5 linked regions of the Ovis aries genome follow. The protein of the gene in region 4 purifies or fractionates together with the protein of the main gene of each other region. This does not show direct contact. Links are inferred from orthologs where the notes say so. Each region holds a gene or a part of one and is shown on either strand. Other genes may lie near its edges.

Region 1 (4,479 bases), on a different chromosome or scaffold from region 4:
CCAAGAAATGCGAGCTTCAGCCAAGAGCAAGGAGGGTCCGCGGATGGACACTCAAGTAGAACTGTTTAAAAAATATGTATTTATTTAGTCGTACTGGGTCTCAGCTGCAGCACATGGGATCCTTTGTTGCGACCCACGGACTCTCTAGTTGTGGAGTGTGGGCCTGGTTGCTCTGCGGCATGTGGGATCTTAGTTCCCTGACCAGGGATCGAACCCAAGTCCCCTGCATTGCAAGGCAAATTCGTGACCACTAGGCAACCAGGGAAGTCCCTTCAAGTAGAATTATTTTTAAAAGATTCCCCACTTGTCTAATTAATATTTTCTCTCTGGAGCTGTTCATTCCTCTCTGTGTGGAGAGAAAAAGAACACAAAAATCATTCCTGGGCTGTGAAAATTTATCAGTGATCTATCTTAGGCAAAAAGACCTATTCAGAAAAAGAAATACCTGCAAGTAACAGAAGCCCCTTTGATTTCTGGAAACACATTGGAGCTCAAAACTCATAACCAAGCCATGCTGGCTCACCATTAGCACATCACACTTTGGTGCCAAGAATGGGGGTTTTCGGGAAGTAAGCAAGCAAGTCATGCAACAGCTTCAAGGATAACTAGAGAAAGATGAAAGTCCAAGCCCAGAGCTAGCAGGATCAACAGATTGAACTTGTTCTGAAACACTTTAAGGAAGTGAAACAAGAAGGATGGGAGAGGTCCTGTGTACACAAAGGACTCTGCAGAGAGAAGTAACACCCCCAAAACCAGCCCCCAGGAAACATCAACTGCCTAGGGTCAAGGCACTCACCACAACAGACTCTGCACAAAGTCCTTGTCCAGCTTCCACACGAGTCACTGCTGAGGGGGAGGTGAAGGTGGTGGTATTATTGTAGAGCTGAGGGATAGGTGGCTCTGGGTCACGCTACCAAGAAGCTGCTGATCTGGGGGGAGAATCCACGGCTGACAGATGGGGGGACAAGGAAGGCTCTTTCCACCACACCACTGAGCTCTCCAAGTCACTCAGGTGAAGCCTCTACTCAAACTACACTCAACAGTTAAACTTTATACAAAGTCTGAGGGACCTGAGTCTTTGAACACTAGTGAAGCCACTCTTCATGAAGCTGCCCTGAGGGGTTGAAGGAGCCTGGTGGGCTCAACTCAGGACAGGGAGCCAGACACTCTGAGCGCTGCTCCTGTTCCTACCATCTGTGACGAGTCACTTTATCTCAAATCCTCCCTTGGAAGGATGGGGATCAGGTGACAATATTAAGTTTCTGTGAATTCAATGGAACTAGGAAAACAGACAGTGGAGTTTAAAAACAGGTACTGCACAGTAATATTTATACCTCAGCTTTCTTTATAAGTGCGTGGAAATCCTCACAGGTTCACTAAGGCTTGTAAAACCCCGGAGTGTGTAGGAAGTCAGCAGGTCTGTGCTGCTATCAGGGAAACTGAAGCCGAACTGCAGCACGTGAATGTCTGCAACCGAGTAAAGCTCAGACTCACAAGACCTAATCCTCTGGCCATGAAACCACCTCACTGTCTCCCAGGCAAGATGTGTGTTCTCCAGTCAAGAAGGCATGGGACCTGCACTTTTCTCAGAGACTCAGGTCCTTGCCTTGGGAATGCTCTTCAAGAACCTAGGGCCAAAAGATACCCTAGGGGTCATGTGGTTCCTCCCCTTACTTGAAAAAGAATGCAGCTTGACCACTCTCAAGAGAGGTGCAGCATATTCTTAAATTCATTGCATGGCTAGACTGTTTTATGTCTCGCAGTTCTCAACAGTTGGGAAAAAGGCCCCTTCTCACCCTGAACAGAAATCAGTTATAGCAATGGCCTAATTTCATCCTAAAGAAAGGGAATCAAATGCTCCTTAGGAAGGTAGATGAGAAGAAAGCAAGCTACATCTCTAAATGCTATTGTTCAGTCGCTCAGTCATGTCCAACTCTGCGACCCCATGGACTGCAGCCCACCAGGCTCCGCTGTCCATGGGATTCTCCAGGCAAGAATACTGGAGTGGGTTGCCATTTCCTTCTCCAGGGAAATATATCTTTATATAGATGCAAATAAATTTAATGGCGGCTAAAGATATTAAACAGCCCCTAAATGCCAACCTTGCTTCAGTCTCAGCACGCTGCAGGTCCCTGCGAGCCCAGGTAGGAACCCTGGCATTCATCCATACTACTCGATTGACCTTACAGGTGTGATTTAACTTTTCTGTGCCTCAGTTTCTTCGTGGATAAAATGGGGATAATAATAGTAGCTACCTCACCAAGATTGCTGGGAAGTTTAAATGCGGCATTCTAAGCACGGTGCCTGCACACAGCTCAATAACCAGCAGCTAGCATTCCCATCAGTAGTTCTGGCGTTATTACAGGGGTCCCCAGTTACCTCGTCTGTGAGGCGCCTAGGGACAGACCAATCCTCTGTTTAACCCCACCCTAGAGGCGGTGGCGCCAGGCCGTTTCATATTTTTTTTTCTGTTTTTGAACCTTGGCAAAGAGATAAGGCCCTTAACGACAAGGAGGCCTCAGGACAGCCACGGCGCTGAGTGTGCAGGGGGAACCAAGACCCGAAGAGAAGTTTCCTGTCAGGCCAGGCACAAGCTCCCCTGGGCCTAAGTCTAGGAGTCTCTACGGGAGGGCGCCCCGGCAGGGACTGCGGACCTGGGACGGCTGGGGTGCACGCCGGCGGCCAAGGGGGCGCGAATGAATGAACCCGCAGCCCTTCTGCCTCCTCCCGTCCTGGGAAGCCACTCTAGACCCTCCAGCGCCCTGTACTCTCCGTGACCTTTGACCCCAGAAATCCCTCACCTCAGACTCCCGACTCCCCGCCCCACTTCTTCTCTGGCCTCGCCAGGCTCCCCGCTTCCTCACCCGCAGGTCCGAAAGGCTCCTGACGCCACGGCGCGGCTCGACGCGACAGGAAAATGTCCGCGGCCTTGTCCTCCCGCTCTCCCGGTGCGCCCGCGCCGCCGGACGCTCGGAGCCCCGCGGCTGTCACCTGCCAGGCGGAAGTGAGCTGCCCGCGCGCGGGCACTTCCGGTGGACGCACAGGCTGGGGGCGGGGTCAAGGGTACAACCCGGGCGGGGGCGGTGGCAGCGAGGCGGGGCCAGGGGGCGGGGCGTCGGAGTTAACTCCGCCCTCGACACGTTGCTGCTCCGCCAAGCAAAAAATACCACAAGATGGTTGGATAGCATCACCGACTCAATGGACATGAGTTTGAGTAAACTCCGGGAGTTGGTGATGGACAGGGAGGCCTGGCGTGCTGCAGTCCATGGGGTCGCAAAGAGTCGAACACGACTGAGCGACTGAACTGAGCTGAACTGAGCCTATATAACATGACGGAGATGGAGAAGATCATAGAGACTTTGAGGTCTATTTTTCTTTGTTTTGAGGTCAGCTTCGCTTCTGTGTTACAAACAGGAAAACTCAGTCTCTGAGAGGCGCCAGTGTTGCTCAAGATCACTTACCTGTGAAGAGAAGAGTTAAACTAGAGCTGTAAGTCTAACCTACCGCTTGAAGCAGCCCTTCGGGGAATTCCGCGTAAACCTCACACCTCCAAGGAGAACTTAAAAGTTCCATTTCCCGTTTTGCTGGGTCGGCCAGGCCAGGGTTGCTATAGGTATCTCACTCCCAGCTCTGGTATTATTAACTTTCTCCTCCTCCTAGATAATTTCTGATCATCTTCTTAAAAACATCTAAAATAATATTTGCATTATGGAAATATACGAGTAAGCAAAAGGCTATGTAAAAAATCCTGCAATCCTGCCACCCTGAGACAATAATTTTTAAGATTTTGGTGAATATCCTTCCAGACTCGATATATCCATTCAGTATTTTTAATTCACCAAGATATTGGTGAATTGGTGAATTATTGTTTCCCAAAACAATAAATACATTTCTACTTGGTGTTTTACAATATCTGCATGGAATTGCGCAGTATGAACGGCACCACTGTTCTCCGAAACAGTCCCCTACAGTTGTGCACTTTATCACTAGTCTTTTAATATTATAAAATGTATAATATTATATTATACATTTTATATATTTATGTATATATAAATATATTTACTTATATATTATATATAATTATAATACATAATACATTTATTTATTCTACATTATGTACAATATATATTATGTATTATAAATTATACTATATTATATATAATATATAAATAATATATTAGAAATATAATATATAATATATAAATATATAATATGTGTTATATATAAACACTGAACTGATGCATATATATGTCTGTATGTATTTTATATATAATAATCATATATTATAATATAATATATAAAGTATATAACATTATATATAATATATTATAATATATTAATATAACATGTATTTTATATGCATATATATGTATGTATATATCTATATATGCGTATATAATATTAATTTATATATTTAAAATTGTATTATATGTTATATATAATATAATACATATCATCAGTTCAGTTCAGTTGCTCAGT
Region 2 (3,738 bases), on a different chromosome or scaffold from region 4:
GAGAAGTGAAAGTGAAGTTGCTCAGTCATGTCCAACTCTTTAGCGACCCCATGGACTGCAGCCCACCAGGCTCCTCAGTCCATGGGATTTTTCAGGCAAGAGTACTGGAGTGGGGTGCCACTGTCTTTTCCTCTAATTCAGCAGAATATGTAAAAGAAGTACTGCTTCGAATTTTTTTTAACAGAATCTAAAGACTGTACTCTTTACATTCAAAACCTCCCCAAATGAACCTTCTTGGGAGAAGTTTTACACTTTCCAAGAATTTAAAACAAGACAAATCAACTCCATGCTTTTTCCAGATTTCTTACCTGTGTTGCCAAACTCAAGACCTGCTGCACCAGCTCCTGTGTTTCTGATGGTTTCTTGAGGAACAGCTTCACTATGGCAGTGAGCAGAGTGAGCTGCACCTAAATAAATTTAATAGATGAAGTGAAAGGCATCCATATTATTCCACACCACCAATTCCAAAGTGGTGTTTCCCCAAACATGACTGACTGACTTACTACAAGGCCTTTCTGGTTTTGATTAATAGACAAAGGTTGAAAACTCCGCCAGTATCAACAATAGCAGTCAAAGGTTTTCATCAACTGAAAACTCACTAGACTCCTACCTCCAAGTTGCATTTTTGGCATCAAAAACTGCCTGTTTGTTTATGCCTCAGATTAATCATCTATATTTCTTAAAGTATATGCTAACATGCTGATGGCAATAAAACTGGTTCCTGACCAAATTCTCTATTATTTACTTCCACCGAAAGCTACAACTTTTGGGGAACTGGAGAATCGTTTATCATACTGAGGCAAGAGCCAAGACCACAGAATTATACTAGATCACAGTCAATTAAGAGTGGCTTGCTGAACCATGAAATTACTGGCTTGTATGTATTCCTTGTCAGGGCCTATTAAAATTACTATGATAGAATACATTTATGAACTTCAATTTGCAGTGAGTATGAACACCAGGGGGAAAAGGTTTAATAATTTATCTGCTTCTCTGGGCCTTTGACTCAAAAGTCTCTCAAGGTCTCTCAATTTTGGTAGAGGACAGATAGAAGGTGGGAAGGAAGATTCTTTTCAAAATGCACATGCCAGCCTTCACCCCGACAAAAACTCCAGCTGTAACCGAGCCACAACCATTATTGACAGTAATGGGCAATCATCTTTAGGTGACAGAAAATTATAATTAACTATCGCTCTAAGCCAGTAGTTGTCAAAGCATGGTTCTGGAGCAGCAGCAGCAGCAGCAGCAGCATCACCACTCTGAACCTTGTAAAAATGAACCATCTCAGGCCTACTGAGTCAGAAACTCTAATGTGGGTTCCAGCAACCTGTAGCTTCAACAGAGATTAAATACCAGTGCTTAGGTGTTTCTACAGCTCATTAAAGTTTGAGAACCACTAGCGTAAGCTAAACAGGCTTGTTCCAACAGACGTCAGCACAACTGAAAAAGCTCACCCCTTTTGCTTTCAGGAAAAAAATGAACATATGCACACATATATACACACCACACATATACACACTATATATACACTACAGACTATATATATATACACATATATATATATAAGTTCAGACACACAAAACTGCCTAACCTTTACCTTTCCTGAAATCCTCCCCCAAACATCTATTTCATTAGGTATAGAAGAGAACTTACTTGGGTGCTTTCATCATGAAAACCCTCCAGGAAGCTCTCTAGTAACTCATCAGCATTGTCAATTCTTTCAGCATATTCTCCCACAATCCAAATCATAGCTGCTCGAGCGTCTGGCTCATCCAGTGAATCTAAGTTCTCACACAGTGTGGCAATGATACTTTCGTATCTGATGTAACAAAATGGACTATGGTTACTGAGGGCAAAACTGAGAACTGTATTTAACAATGAAGACTAAAAGCAAAACCATGGACAAGGTATCCACACTTAATCAAGAAATTTAGAAACCCAACCCCTCTTTCCTGACAGAGTGGTAAAAGCATATCCTTTTCCCAAAAATACAATTTCTAGAATTAAAAAAAATATATAAAACACTTAATAAACCACTACCTTGTTAAAATATTTCTTCTAATTTTGAGTCCACCATTAAACTAACTTAATTGTAAGTCACTTCATTTCATATGATCTTTAAAGATTAGTCAGAAGCCTCAGCACAACCTATCTCTATGATTATAAGGTAAAATGACATTTAGGGTGCTTAGATGATCTGCTCTTTTTTTTTCAATTGGAGGGTAACTGCATTACAGTGTTGTGATTTCTGCCACACAACACGAATCAGTCTTAAATTATACATATATCTCCTCCCCCTTGAATCTGCTTATTTCACTCTTTCAGATTCTTTAATTGCTTGCCTTCAAAAGCAAATCTGAAAAAGTGTATGTTTCACAAACTAAGACCTCAACATGAAAATTTTCTGTGAAGTGAAAATGTAGATTTTGCATATCTTAATGGAAGCAGCTACCATACTTGAGAAAAGGTCTAAAACGCTGATAATTTATCGTTACATGTTCTACAATTTTCTAAAAGTACTAGGTAACATACAAAGTGAATAGTGAAGCTGTCACCTTCCTGGATTTTACAATAGGGTGGCCATATTACTCAAACTGAGACATTTCTGAGAGTGGAAAGGGGGCACATTTATTAATTACGCTTGGTAAGAAGCATAAAATGGATTATGCCCAGACATGAGTATCCTATTTAATAGTAACTTCATCACCAAAGAACCTGATTAACTTTAAAAATATGTCAATCGACAATGCATATTCAGACAGAGCTTCAATTCTTCTAAAAGTGATAAAACAGTAAAAATGAGATTTTAATCCTCGTGCTCACAAACTTACACGTTTCTGATTTTTAATAAAGCATTTAATTATGACCAAATAATTCTTACCTAGCCAGTCTCAAAGTGCTTTATTTAAACATTTCCTAAACGAACTGAGGAAGAGGGGCAGAAGTATTTGGACATACTTGTTGGGGTATTTGCGGAAGATGTCCCTGATGACAACAATCGCCTCTTGGACCACATAATTTACTTTGGTTTGGATGAGATCAAGCAACGTGCTCACACAGCGCTCTGCAGATTGCTACAATGAAGAACATAATGAGAAGTCAGATATCTACCCAATAACACAACCTCAACAAAAAAAAAATGGGGGTGGGGGGAGAGAACATCCAGGTACATCAACTAAACTAGATTAAAAGATGAGGCACTTAATTTGATCATACTGTATTAGACACAGGGTTATCTGATGGAGATGTACAGAAGTTCAAGATACACCCCAAATTTTACTCATTACAAAAGAGTCAGTTCAAGTGAACAAAATCATCTTGGATAGCCAGGATGACAGAAAAGAGAAGATAGCGTAAGTCAAGGTATGAGCAAAGAGTAAGAATGACAGAATACACCGGAGTAGGAGGTCTTTATCTGCAGTTCATGAATGAGCAAGACAGAGGGCATCTTTAAACCTCTTGAAATGAAACTGCCAAATTTCATTTGTGCAGACAAGCACATTTCCCAGGAAGAGAGTCCACAGTTTTCATTGTATTTTCAGTTATCTGTGACTCAAAAAACTCTTAAGAAAAATTTGCCATCTTTTGGGCTATATAACTGAAAGTTTATGGACTTATAACTGTCTAAAGGGGATGAAGCAATGAGATAAACATCACTAAAATACAACCAGCCAAATCTAGACTCTGGAAAATTCTACAAGCCTATCGATCTAGTTCCTTCAATAAATGGCACCCAAA
Region 3 (3,738 bases), on a different chromosome or scaffold from region 4:
TTCCGCTGGCCTCGGGGTTGCTGTGTCCCTGTTCCCCGTTTCTCTCACTGCTGCCCCTTCTCTCCTGCCCTCCCCTCGGATGTGGGCTCCTCTTGCTTGGGCCTGGCATGCCTCACGTACTGTTGCTCTGCTTGGGGTAGGCTTTGACTCATTCATTCATTCATTCCTATTTTTCGGCCGTGCCTCGCCACCTGCAGGATCTTAGTTTCACGAGCAGGGACTGAACCTGTGTCCCCTGCAGTGGAAGCTCAGTGTCTTAAGCACTGGAATGCCAGGAAAGTCCCAAGGCGCAGGCTTTGATTTCTGTCACTGTGCCAATGACCCCTGAATTTGTACCAGAGTCCAGAGCACTCATTTGGAGATCTGCAGGCCGTCAGGACACCCTGGAGGTCTCACAGCCGTCACAAACTCGGCATTTCCCCAGATGAGCTCCGCACCAGCCCCCAGCCCTGCTGTCTCTTGCCCTCTCGGGGAGTGACACCGCCATCCACACAGGTGCCCATTTAGAGACCTGGGCATTATCCTGCCCTTATTTGCCTCACTGCCACGCTCACTGCAGAGACATTTACTGAGTAGCTGCTATGGGCCAGGATCCGAGGCTGCCCTCACTGTACTTAACCAGTGCTCCTAGGTACCCACCGTGGGCTCTGCCTCCCATCCCATGGCTTTAGCTCCACTGTCCCCTCTGCCTCTATCCCACCTGTATCCTGAGGGCTCAGTTTGACGGTCTCACCCTTGCAGAGTCTCTCATCTCCCTTCAAGCAAATAGCTCAGTGCAGGGACCCTGTTTGTCTTGGTCACCCTGGTGTCCCCAGGCCCCGCATAGTGTGTGGCGGAGAGCATGAGTGAGTGGGCCTCTGCAGCCTGTGTGATGAAGGCGAGCAAAATACATAACTCCCTGCTCTTTCCTCAGAATATACTGGGGCCTCAGGGGCTCCGTGCCAATTGCATCCTCCAAAGTTGGATAACCTGGAGTAGAAGGTGGGCTTAGGAAGCCCAGGAGAGCCATGTTTATCGAGTGGAAGTGTCCCTGCAGGGAGTGAGAAGTGGGGTTAGAACCTGGCTCTCCTTTGTTCACTGTATGACCTCAGGCGGGTGGTGCCACCTCTCCAGACATCACTGTTCATTGCTTTAAAAATATCAGTCCACTTTGTAGTGGGTGGGATTTATACGAGGCAGCATATATTCCTGGCAAAGAACATATGAGAGGGTATGTCGTAGTCCCTGGGCCAGGCACCCACAAGCTCACCCACTGGGTGCTGGGTCTCTAAGAGGCCTTCTGAACAGCAATGAGTGCACAGGGTCCCTTGCCCGTAGGCCACAAAGGAGAAACTAGGAAAGGAGGGTTCTTTCTCGGTCACTCGACCACTCTCTCTGGCTTGCAGCAGTAAGACAACGTATTTTATGAAACGAAGATACTGTGGGAAGGAAACGGCAACCCACTCCAGTATTTTCCCATGGACAGAGGAACCTGGCGGGCTACAGTCCGTGGGGGTCACAAAAGAGTCGGGCAGGACTTAGCAAGCATGCGCCACCAGAGGTCCTGAGGCAGGCGGCTCCCAGGCTGGTCGGCGCAGTGGTGCCATTCTTTGCACATAGCTGCGTCCTGCAGCTGGCTGGCCTCAGGGATGCACGGGAGCAGCAGCTGCCCTGGGCAGCATCTCCACATAGAGCCTTGCTCACCGTGGTGTAGCTTCACGCCTCCTTTTCTTTCCTTCAGTGAGTTACGTGTAACTGACTGTGCTCATATAAAGCATATCGTTTGATGAGTTCAGTCACTGTATACATCCAGGAAACCAGGGGCACACACTCTGTCTCTTCCTAAAGGTTCCCCACACCCATGCCTGTCCAGCCTGTCCCCAGGCAGTCACTGATGTATTTTCTGTTACCGTTTCCCGGGATGTGTTTGTTTAGGTGGGATCACATAGTTCCGGTCTCCATCGTCTGGTTTCTTTCCCTTGGCTCAGTGATCCTGAAATTCCCTCCTGCTGTCGCCGGTGTCAGGAGTCATTCCTTTTCGTAGCTGAGCAGTTTTCTGTAGTGTGGTTGGACACAATTCTTGTCTCCACTCACCTTTTGAAGGATATTGGCATTCTCGCCAACCTGAGTCTACTTCAAATAATGCGCTGTGAGCATCCGCACATGTGTCTTCATGTGGACGTGTGGTTTCCTTTCTCTTGGATAAATAAATACCTGAGAGAGGAATGGCTGGGTTATAAGCTGATTTTAGCTTTCTGAGAACCGGTCAAACTTTACCAAAGTGGTTGTCCCATTTCACATTCCCATCAGCAGTGATGCCACACGCCGGGACCCATAAGAGAGGCGAGAAGGGTTTCTTTTCAGGTCACAGGTGGGATCTAGTAGGTGTGCACACTCAGCAGTGCCCCTCTCCTGACAGAGCCAGAAGGGCAGGTGCATGAGCACAGCGTGGAGGAGGTCTGCACTTAGAGCCTGCCGGACACAACCTGGCGTCTCCCCGTGATTCAGTCCTGGACTCTTGCCCCACAGCCGCCTCCCAGGGCCCCCATACAGGACTCTCAGTAGCCCCAGTAGATGTTCACGTGGGGAAGAGCTTTCCTTGAGGAATTCCCTGGGGCGTGGAGATCGAATGGCCCTTTGATGGACAGGCGTGACTGGGGTTCCCAGGAGGGCCGGAGGGTGGTGGAACTCAAGGTAAAAGTGCCTTCCCTCTCTCCCACCCGCCCAGGTGCTCATCTGCCGGAATTACCGCGGCGATGTGGACATGTCAGAGGTGGAGCACTTCATGCCCATCCTGATGGAGAAGGAGGAGGAGGGCATGCTGTCGCCCATCCTGGCCCACGGGGGCGTCCGCTTCATGTGGATCAAGCACAACAACCTGTATCGTATCCCTTTGTCGGGGGTGGGGATGGCTCCTGTGTGGGCTTGTGCACACACACACACACACACACGTGCAATTGAGAGCTGCTGTCCCCAGGGCTGGCTGGATCAGGCTAGCAGGGGGCCATCAGGCACAGCCCTGTCTTCTGGAGCTCCCTGCTGCCTAAGGATGACAAGTGGGATAGAGGTCCAAGGAGCCAGGACGGGTTGCTTGGGGAGGGAACATCCCAGTGGAGACCTGCAGGAAGGCCAGGTGTCTGCCTTAGGTGTCTGCTGGCATGAGGCATGCTAGGCCTGGGTGAAGTCTCACTCGGCAGCTGCAGTGGGGGTGACTGGAGCCCTAGAGTGGGGTGCATGGCAGGAGCGAGGCCCAGTGGTCAGCAGGGTGTGCGCTGCAGGGCCCTGTAGGCAACCACCTGAATGAAGTGTGTTGGAAAGTCTTGGGAGGGTTTCAGGCAGAGGGCTGACACGGTCTGATTTGCATTTTCTGCATTTTCTCTGGCTGCTGAGTGGAGACCGGATTTCAGGGATCAGAAGTAGACATAGGAGGTGGGGGTGGGCAGAAGCCTGGACTGTGAGGGGTGGTGGGATACAGAGAAGGGGAGAGATTCTTCCCCACCCTGCCCAGATCTCAGAGCCCCTTGCTCTCAGGCCCATGGGGAGGCCTGGCTGAGCCAGTTCCCATCCAGGAGGTCTGACCAGCCATCCCGTGGCTTTGGTCAACCCCGCTGGGTGCATTCTGGTATCTGCACTGCTGCGGGCAGAGCCTGGCTCTGCAGCCCACAGCCCCATGTTCCGGTCGCCGTGTGGCTGGAGGCAGGTCCTCACCTCCGCCTGGCCCAGTGACAGCCGTGACCCCTCCTTGCAGCGCTGCTTGCG
Region 4 (4,526 bases):
TAAAATCTGTTCTGGGCAAAATTATCTATCTACCAGATCTAATCACACCACCACCACAGCAACAAGTGTACTTCAAACTAATAAGCAGTAACGAACAAGTCGTGTATATATCCGATTTTTAAACATCTATGACTAAAACAGTGTACATATCCAAGGAGTTTATACATGAATAAGAGATTCTGAAAGTCAGATTAAAAGGCATATCGAATACCAGTCATTACGGATTTGCGGGGAGAAAGGAGGGGGAGGTAAATGCTTATCTAAATTCAGAAAATTACTCACACAATTTAAAATACTGACTTTATTTTCCCCTGCAAAGAAATGAATTCTTTCAGTTTTCCTAAAAAGATGATTAAGCATGAAGTATCATTTATGCCTTTAGTTACATAATTTCGTTTAAAAAGAGTCCCATGATTTTATCATTTCACCAAAACAGTAGTTATCTTAAAAGTACAAAGCTTTACCTTAAGACTATTTCATTTATATCTTTAGTAATCTTTATTTATAAATGTAATCTCTTGAAAGTCTGCAATTTCCACATTATAAATGATCTAATAACTGATTCTATTTCATCCTTCTAATAAATAAAAATTATACCTTTTGTAAACAATCTTCAGATCTCGCCATTCAAGAAAGCTGCACATTTTAGGTTTCCGTGCTAAAACGGTTTGAACAAGTTCTCTTGTGATCTTTTTCTTCTCTTTGTCTGATAATGGGACATACCATTTCTGCAGTCGAAGCTTTCCCTGACGACTAAAAAGCAACATAAACTGCATCTGTTAAGATAAACAGAACCAAGATTACAGGCAATACTTTGATTCAATAAAGTTAAGATTAAGATGACACGTGGCAAAGAGAAGCTTTGAGGGACAGGGCGTTTAGCCAACAAATGATGAGTAGCCATCAATATTTCTATGCTAGTTAAAATAGCAGGAAATTCTTGTAGAAAGATCTTTCCACCAGATGCAAATCCTCCCACCTCACCCTGTTCCATTTAAGTTTGGAGGAGAGGGGGAGGACAAAAACAGGTGAGGTGAAAATTCTGATGAAAAAGAAAGATAATTCTTGCAATTTAAGAAACTATTGTGTATGTGTGCTATAGGAATGTATATGGATCAAAAGAGAACTGTTGACATCAACTGGTTTAGATGCATTTGAAATAAACAGACCTACTATTTTCCACCCTACACAGAATAAGCTGTTCTAGAGCCAAACTGAATTACTTGTAGACAGACTGCTATAACTTGAAATGCTGTCTTCAGTTTATGTTTACATATTTTAAGCAAAACAAAAGAACTAAAATATAAACCAAAAAAATCCCATAAACACATTTTTCTTAATAAAAGCCTGATTAAAAAAATTCGCATCTCATTTTAAAAATTCCAACATAAATATACACACAATAAAGTGAGTTAATATAGTTTTACGGAAGAGAATATAAACCTTTAAAAAGCCAAACTAAGAGCTACACACATTCAGACATTACACGAAATACTTCATTTAAAACGATTTAAAAACATAGCATCTACAGATGGAGTGGATGCTGAATTCTAGTGTATTTCACACAAACTATTTTGTATACATTTATTTAGAATCTGCAAATGATGATTAGTCTACATGTTTTAATTTTTAAGGAAACCTTCTTGTAATTCAGTCTCCCCAACTGCAAACAGAAAGCATTGTTTCTACAAAGGTAATTTAAAGGTAGAAATTAGATATTTTCTTTTCTTTTAATTATTCTAAGTTTCAGTACTAGTTTCTGCAAGTAGGATTCAGCCTGACTCTTGGTATTAACCACACCATACTGAATTTGAACATGGGGTGGGGGAATTTACACCATCCATCTGAATAAAATGGGCGCTAAATTTCACCAAGAAATCATTGCCGCTTTTTGTAATAATCCAAACGGGCATCAATAAGGTATTTAGAAATTTACGATGCGACAATTTAACTTAAATAAAGTTGAAACTGGCTGTTAACATCACACTTAAAACGCATCACTGGCACGAAATAAACGAACAACACTGGTGATGTCAAAGTGCCTCATACAGAAGTCCTGTTAAGACAGCGACATTAGAAAGGGACAGCAAGTAACGCATCAACTGGACAATGTTTCACGCAAACCCGTTAGCAGAACTTGGAAAAGAACAGACCCGTATTCCAGGATCTTGGAGACCAGGAGGACTGGGGGTTTGCTTTTGAAACTCTAGGACTCAAGGGAGTCTATAGCAAGGTCCTCCATCTCTCCCCACCATCACTTTATATGACGAATAAATAATTTATGCTCTTTAAAATAAATTATATGTTAACATAGGATGATGCCTGGTCGCAAGGCACAAGTATTCCTTCCCTCTAGTTAAAAACCAACGCTCCGATTTTGCTTCAAATCACAAGGCGCCTCAATTCCTGGAGATTGGTATTAAAAACAATGGGCTCGGCCGCGGAGCGGGCTCGGGGCCAGGGGCCGTTGCCTGCCCGCCGCCCCACGGGGCCGCACTCCATCACTGACCGATCGAGCCCGGGCGAGGTGACAAGCAAGGAGCGGGGAAGACAATGGCAACCGCCGCCGCGCAGGGGGCGCCAAGAGTCCTCCGTCTCCGCCGCCCCCGGCCGCCGACCCCGCCCGCAAATGCCCCGCAAAACTTGAGGCGATTCCCAAACCACAGGTGCCGCGGACCCGCTGCAGCGTCCGAAACTGGCCCCCGCAGCCCGGGACGCGGCGCCGAGTGGAGAGGGGCGCGGAAGCAAAGAGAAGTGAGTTTCGGGGCGCGGTGCCCCAGTAGCGGGCCGGGCGGGCGGGCGCGGGGTGGGGTCGTCCAGGCGCTCGTTGGGCGGCGGGGGGCTCGCCCGACCCTCCCTCCCCACTCCCCGACCCCGGTGTCCCCGCTCGCCTCCCGGGACTTACGGCGGCCGCGGGCCGCGACTGCGGCGGGGCTCGGCCGGCGGCGGCGGCGGCGGCAGCGTCGGCGGCGGCGACTAAGGGGAAGCCCCTGTCGCTGAGCTGAGGAAGAGAAGCCGTTTTGCTGTGGGGAGGGGACCCGGTTCGCGGAGGGAAGGCTTAGGCTGAGAGGGGAGGGCGAGCCGACAGACCCCGCCCCGGGGGCCGGACGAGGGAGGAGCCGGGGCTGCGGCGAGCAGAGGGGCGGGCTGGGCGGTGCGCTGGCTGCAGCTCGGCTGTTGCCAACGGCTCCGAAGGCAGCTCAGGTGACCGCGAAGTCCGAGGAATCTGATTGGCCGCGTCTCTACCGAGAGGGAGGTCCGGACCGGAAGCCAGGCCACGTGACCCGGAAGCGGCTGTTGCCAGGGCTGGCGCGCCTGCGCTCTCCTGAGTGCGCTTCTCTGACGCGCGCGGCTGTCGGGTCTATTTTGTGGAGAGAAGACAGTGTTTCACTGTGCCGTTTATTGACCGTACTAAGCTGGGCAGGGAAGGTCCGTACTTCCAAGAACCGCATTCGAGCTCCGACAACTCTCGGTGCCCCGAGAGGGTGGGACGGGGCCGTTTAATGGCCGGTACTGTTGGTGAGGGGAGAGAGGGAGTGCTGCAACTCGGAAGAAAACAAAGCTCTTTCGTGGAGCTCGTGCCCGCGTTTAGAGGGCTTTTTTGCAATTACTTTGCCTCAAAACCACCCGGAATCCGGCCCTTCCCATCGCAGTGCTGCAGTCCTAGACACCTTTTCGCCCCAAACTGCAACTGTCTCTTGCCGGGGCTTGCCTCGCTCATCCTCAGTGCTGCGAACCTGAGGAGTTACTGTCCGTTCCCTGCTGAAAAGCCCGACCGGCACCTCTTCTAGATTCCGCTTCTTTCACCCTCACCTCCCCCACAGCCGCTTGGGTTCCAGTTTAGTCTTGCCGACGACTTTCTCTGCCTGGCATGCCCTTGCTCTCAAATGTCACAGCTCCTATGAAGCCTCACTCACCCATATACCCATTAGCACATCTTGAGTTTTATTCATTTTACATCCCAGCCTAGTTCTCTGCCTGGTATGTAACACCTCTAATAAATGTGAGTTGACTGATAAGGACTCTAAAACGGTAGATTTGTTTGTTAAGAGCCATGGTGCTGAGCATTGTGTCTGGCACATAATGGATGTCCATTTTTTTCGATTGAGAGAGTGGTTGAATCATCCAGTCCGACTCATCTTTTACAGATGAGTAAAGGGGAGCCCCACGGGATTAAGTGACCTTGCTTGAGCAGCCACGGGTTTCTTATGTCGAACGCTATTCATTATCCCAGTCACCGGTTCTTACAAAGGAAATTTAGAATATTGCTTTTGTTAAGCTATGGCCTTTTTGCAGAGGCACCCAAACATAGTCGCCAGAATTTTTTAATGGCCCAAAGGGAAAGTTTTCTAGGAAGCGAAGTTTAATCAATCTAAAGGAATCCTTTATTAGGGATTGTGTTCTTTTCACGTGTGTTAAAATGTCTGTAAAACTAAGTACATAATAGGGATTTGGGGGCATTTTTTAATGCCCTTCTTTGGCAAGATAAAAATGTATATTACCTCCCCTTTCAGACACTGCTATGC
Region 5 (4,371 bases), on a different chromosome or scaffold from region 4:
GGGGAAGGGGTACACTCGATACTGGAGAAGACTGTCGACTGGGCAGGGCACTGGCCGTGCAGCTAGGACTCCCCGACCCAAGGAGCCTGGTGCCCCTCTGAGGCCTGGTGACAGATCTGGAAGGGATGCAGCCTCCATCTCTGACCTCGGAGGAGCCTATCTCACCTCCAAGTACTGAGCTAGGTTCTAACCAAACTCCATCCTTCGCTGAAGGAGATGAGAGAAATGAAAAGTAGAACAGCTCCTGAGCATCTTCTCCCTCTTTCTTTCCCCAACAGCCAGCCCCTCACCCAACCCCCTAGGATGGCATGCCATGTCAAGAGCAATGCGTAAAGGAAAGATAAAGTCCCATGCAGCCAAGCCCACCTGCTGACCTCTCCCACCTTTCTCTCTCCCCCTAAAAGTTTATTTGGTTGGTCTGGACTCACGTGTGGCCTTTGATTAAATTCCTAAGGGACCTGAAGAAGACATTTCTACTGCAGAGGGTTAGGGGCACCTGAGCAAGGACCCCACTCCCCAACTCTGGCAGTAGTGGCGGGGGGAGGCAGTTCTGGAAAATGAACCACACAAGAAAACAGGAACTCACAGGGCAGGAGAAGCTGGTCAGTAGTCTCTAAGTGGGTTAGATCCCTTCCCCCATCATATCAGAATCTTGTGAACTGGAAAAACAACACAAAGGAGGGGATCAATCTCACACACTTTCCAGGGAGAGCAGAGAGGTGAGAGTCAAACCGGGGTGAGAGGTGGGTAGAGAGCCCTGTTGGAGGTTGTGGCTGATCCCTGGTACTAGCGTTTCCCCTGGGGACAGGAAGCCCTAGGAAGAGGGGGCTTGAGGGTCCCCAGGGGATCTTTCCTCCCTCCCCTGCATGAGGCAGAGGCAAGCTGCCTGCCAACCCCCTCCCTCAAGGAATGGCCTTGCCTGGGAATGCCCACCACACACAAACTCTTCTTTTTTTTCTAGTCAAACTCTGTTTACTCCCTGGCCTGCCTCCCTCCCTCTTCCTCTCTCAAACTTTACTTCTGATTTCTATTTCATGGAATTTGGGATTGACGTTAAAACAACAGTGCCGCCAACACCAAGTCTTGCAGGAAAAAAAAAATACAAAGAAATTTAACCAAAAAAAAAATATATTAATAAAAAAGTTCAAAAAAAGGGGGGGGAATTGTCCTCTCCTTTGGGTGCGATGGATTCAAACCCAAACTCTCAGAAGCTCTCCAGTGAACGAGCCCTCTTGCGAAGTCCCAGGCCTGTTAGACAGTCTCGCCGCCCCGAAGTAGTTAAAAAGATCCTTCCCTTATACTCCAAATCAGAAAGGCCTAAGGTCAGAGGATTCAAGATTGCTCTGCAGTCTGCAGGGCGGCCCAGGAGGGGCGGGGTCCCGCGATAGGGGCGGGGAGAGAGAAGGATCAGACCAAGCCCCAACCTTCCTCGGGGCTAGGACCAGGAAGCGCTGGGGGGAGAGGAGCGGAGTTGAGACTGAAGCCAGGTGAGGCTGGCGTCCTGGTGTGGGGAAGCTGACACCGCCTGAGAAGGGGACGGGGGTCTCTGCGAAAGAAGCAGCGCCGGGCTCTAGAAGGAAGGGAATAACTGAGCTAGGGATGGGAAGCCAGGTGGAGACCCGCCGTTGGGGGGGAAATAGGCGGGGTTCCAGCGCAGGCTCGGTAGCGACGGGTGCGGGGTGGGGCGAGGACGCATGCGTAATGGAGGTCTCGGGCGGCATTTGGGGACAGGGATCAGTTTTAGCGTGTCTTGGGACCCGGGCCCTCGGGAATTTGGTTAATTGCAAGCCTGTGCAGAAAAGGCCGGATGCTTACTGCCAGAGGGTTAAGGCCCTCTCCGTTTCCGGGCTCTGCCCGCCAGGATGGTGGCGTCCTCGCTGAAGCTTCAGGATCTAATCCAGGAGATTCGTGAGGCCAAGACCCAGGCCCAGGAGCGGGAGGTGATCCAGAAAGAGTGCGCCCACATCCGGGCCTCCTTCCGCGATGGGGACCCTCTGCACAGCCACCGCCAGCTGGCCAAACTGCTCTACGTCCACATGTTAGGCTACCCCGCCCACTTTGGACAGGTACTGGGCGTGGACGCCTCCCGTCCGAGTTTGATGAGAGAAGCTAGTGGGGCACGGTAGCGAACACCACCCCCTCACTTACTTGTTTCTCGATTTCTTTATTCTGCGGAGTTTCTGGGCCCTCACAGGGTGTACCGCAGATCTCCTTGCCCTTTACCACCCCAACTGGTCATCAGATGGACCGAACCCCTCATTCTCTGGCCAGCGCCATTCAAGGCCCTTCCTTTCTCCTCCCATTCTTCCGTTTCCTTGAAACTAACTGAATCTCCTAAACCTCTGTTCATGTTGAACGGGGCGGTCCTGGGGTATGCTGCCCCCACAGGTTAATCTGGTGTAAAGGAGAACCAAAAGCCACGCTAGTGCCTCCGGTTTCACCCCTACCCCTTCCTGGTCTGCCCCCTTCCCTGTAGATGGAGTGCCTGAAACTGATCGCCTCCCCCAGGTTCACAGACAAGAGGGTGGGCTACCTGGGGGCCATGCTTCTACTGGATGAGAGGCAGGATGCCCACCTGCTCATTACCAACAGCATCAAGAAGTGAGAGGGTTCTGGGAAGCACTTGGAATCAGGGAGATGGGAGAGTGGGGAACTGGGAAATCCCAGGGGGTTGCCTGCTGTAGGTACTGAAGGACTGGACTTCTCAGAGGCTTGACTGACTGTCCTCCCCAAACTCTGCAGTGACCTGAGCCAGGGAATTGAGGCTGTCCAAGGCCTAGCCTTGTGCACACTGAGTGCCATGGGCTCTGCTGAGATGTGCCGGGACTTGGCCCCAGAGGTGGAGAAGCTGCTCCTGCAGCCCAGCCCCTATGTGCGCAAGAAGGTGAGACAGCAGGTTCTAGGCTCTTGCTCCTGCACAAACTGTCCTGTCTGCCACATGATAGAGGTGGGGGATTCCATCCTGGCAGACCCTCGCCCTCTCTGAGCCCTGTGACCTCTGCAGGCTGTTCTGACTGCAGTACACATGATCCGGAAGGTCCCTGAACTCTCTGACATCTTCCTCCCACCCTGTGCCCAGCTGCTTCATGAACGCCACCATGGTAAGGCCACGGGGCTCCTCGTCCACTGCCTCAGCTCTGGCTGTGGGAAAGGGAGCCCAAGGACAGGAACAGTAGCTCCCAGGTGAAGGGCAGCACGTGCATGCAAACACGCACACAGTAGACTCCCCTGTGCCCTGTCCACCATTGGCTCCCTCACCCTGACCCAGGCATCCTGCTGGGCACTGTCACGCTGATCACCGAGCTCTGCGAACGAAGCCCTGCAGCCCTCCAGCACTTTCGAAAGGTGGGCTGGTGAAGGGGTGGGCCCCGGGCCAGGAGGAGAAGGGCAGTGGGGTTGGAGGGAGCTGAAGGGAGAGAGGATTAGGAAGAATGCCCAGGTCAGGCTCTGCCCTCCCTCCAGGTGGTACCCCAGCTGGTGCACACCCTCCGGACTCTGGTGATGACAGGATGCTCCACAGAACACAGCGTGTCTGGAGTCAGCGACCCATTCCTGCAGGTGGGCTGATCCTTCCCTGCTGTATCCCTGGAACAAAAAGCTTAGGCATCCCATGGCCAGGGGTCCCCTCCCAGACAATACTTTGGTTCATCAGTAACTTGGGCAGGAGGGTGGCAGGCACCAGGTCATCCCAGGTCCAGTGTGGGGATGGGGAGTGCCTGAAAAGTAGAAAATCCAACTTGGTAACATTTTTTTTTTTTTTTTTCAAAAGACTGTCCCCAGATCTCCTGGCCTCACTCACCTCTGAACCCTCCCAGGGCCCAAGGGGACAGAGGAGGCTGGGAGGGGGGACTGCAAGGAGGCTATTGGGAGCCAGCCAGACCCCTCACAGTGCTCTCAACGTTGGATTTCTCTCCTCAACCCCTTTCCCCCAACTTTTATTTAACCCAATTTCAGGTCCAGATACTTCGTCTGCTTCGGATTCTGGGCCGGAACCACGAGGAGAGCAGTGAGACCATGAATGACTTGCTGGCCCAGGTGGGGGTGGGGGCCTGGGTTATGGGTGTTGCTCTGTGATCCCACTGGCCTGGGCGTCCCTCCCATGACCACTCCCCCTGCAGTGGCCAAATGATCACGTCTCCATTTCTTTCTGGACTGTGATCTCTCCTGAGGTCAGGGACACAGTCTGTTACAGTGCAGTAGTCCCTGGCACATAGTTGGGGGGGCGGGGGTGGAGGGGATGGATAGACTTTTGTAAGCTATTTGAGGGATGACATGAGGAAAGGGTGGAGCCCCTTAGAGCTTCTCTCCCATCCACGCAGGTAGCCACAAACACTGACACCAGCCGAAATGCGGGCAATGCGGTTCTGTTTG

Evidence for each region.
Region 1: the proteins of AP1S2 (region 4) and AP1B1 purify together in Homo sapiens (affinity purification with mass spectrometry; 5 studies listed by BioGRID and IntAct, counting the BioPlex papers as one, with this or other methods). This does not show direct contact. The link is inferred for Ovis aries from reciprocal best matches to the Homo sapiens genes AP1S2 and AP1B1.
Region 2: the proteins of AP1S2 (region 4) and AP2B1 purify together in Homo sapiens (affinity purification with mass spectrometry; 3 studies listed by BioGRID and IntAct, counting the BioPlex papers as one, with this or other methods). This does not show direct contact. The link is inferred for Ovis aries from reciprocal best matches to the Homo sapiens genes AP1S2 and AP2B1.
Region 3: the proteins of AP1S2 (region 4) and AP1M1 fractionate together in Homo sapiens (co-fractionation; 6 studies listed by BioGRID and IntAct, counting the BioPlex papers as one, with this or other methods). This does not show direct contact. The link is inferred for Ovis aries from reciprocal best matches to the Homo sapiens genes AP1S2 and AP1M1.
Region 5: the proteins of AP1S2 (region 4) and AP1G2 purify together in Homo sapiens (affinity purification with mass spectrometry; 3 studies listed by BioGRID and IntAct, counting the BioPlex papers as one, with this or other methods). This does not show direct contact. The link is inferred for Ovis aries from reciprocal best matches to the Homo sapiens genes AP1S2 and AP1G2.

The regions. Positions count from the first base shown.
Region 1 is NC_056070.1:68,659,680-68,664,158, forward strand, and holds the start of AP1B1 (AP-1 complex subunit beta-1), read right to left. Parts: upstream 3,012-4,479; 5' UTR 2,865-3,011; exon of another isoform or gene 2,802-2,864; intron 847-2,801; 5' UTR 797-846; intron 1-796. UniProt on the Homo sapiens protein: Subunit of clathrin-associated adaptor protein complex 1 that plays a role in protein sorting in the late-Golgi/trans-Golgi network (TGN) and/or endosomes.
Region 2 is NC_056064.1:14,441,923-14,445,660, forward strand, and holds part of AP2B1 (AP-2 complex subunit beta), read right to left. Parts: intron 3,075-3,738; coding exon 2,959-3,074; intron 1,820-2,958; coding exon 1,654-1,819; intron 408-1,653; coding exon 309-407; intron 1-308. UniProt on the Homo sapiens protein: Component of the adaptor protein complex 2 (AP-2). Adaptor protein complexes function in protein transport via transport vesicles in different membrane traffic pathways.
Region 3 is NC_056058.1:6,596,409-6,600,146, reverse strand, and holds part of AP1M1 (AP-1 complex subunit mu-1), read left to right. Parts: intron 1-2,707; coding exon 2,708-2,864; intron 2,865-3,738. UniProt on the Homo sapiens protein: Subunit of clathrin-associated adaptor protein complex 1 that plays a role in protein sorting in the trans-Golgi network (TGN) and endosomes.
Region 4 is NC_056080.1:14,009,202-14,013,727, forward strand, and holds the start of AP1S2 (AP-1 complex subunit sigma-2), read right to left. Parts: upstream 3,028-4,526; 5' UTR 2,906-3,027; intron 777-2,905; coding exon 598-776; intron 1-597. UniProt on the Homo sapiens protein: Subunit of clathrin-associated adaptor protein complex 1 that plays a role in protein sorting in the late-Golgi/trans-Golgi network (TGN) and/or endosomes.
Region 5 is NC_056060.1:21,191,417-21,195,787, forward strand, and holds the start of AP1G2 (AP-1 complex subunit gamma-like 2), read left to right. Parts: upstream 1-1,409; 5' UTR 1,410-1,487; intron 1,488-1,830; 5' UTR 1,831-1,862; coding exon 1,863-2,066; intron 2,067-2,476; coding exon 2,477-2,601; exon of another isoform or gene 2,602-2,742; coding exon 2,743-2,884; intron 2,885-3,004; coding exon 3,005-3,101; intron 3,102-3,268; coding exon 3,269-3,345; intron 3,346-3,462; coding exon 3,463-3,558; intron 3,559-3,954; coding exon 3,955-4,035; intron 4,036-4,319; coding exon 4,320-4,371.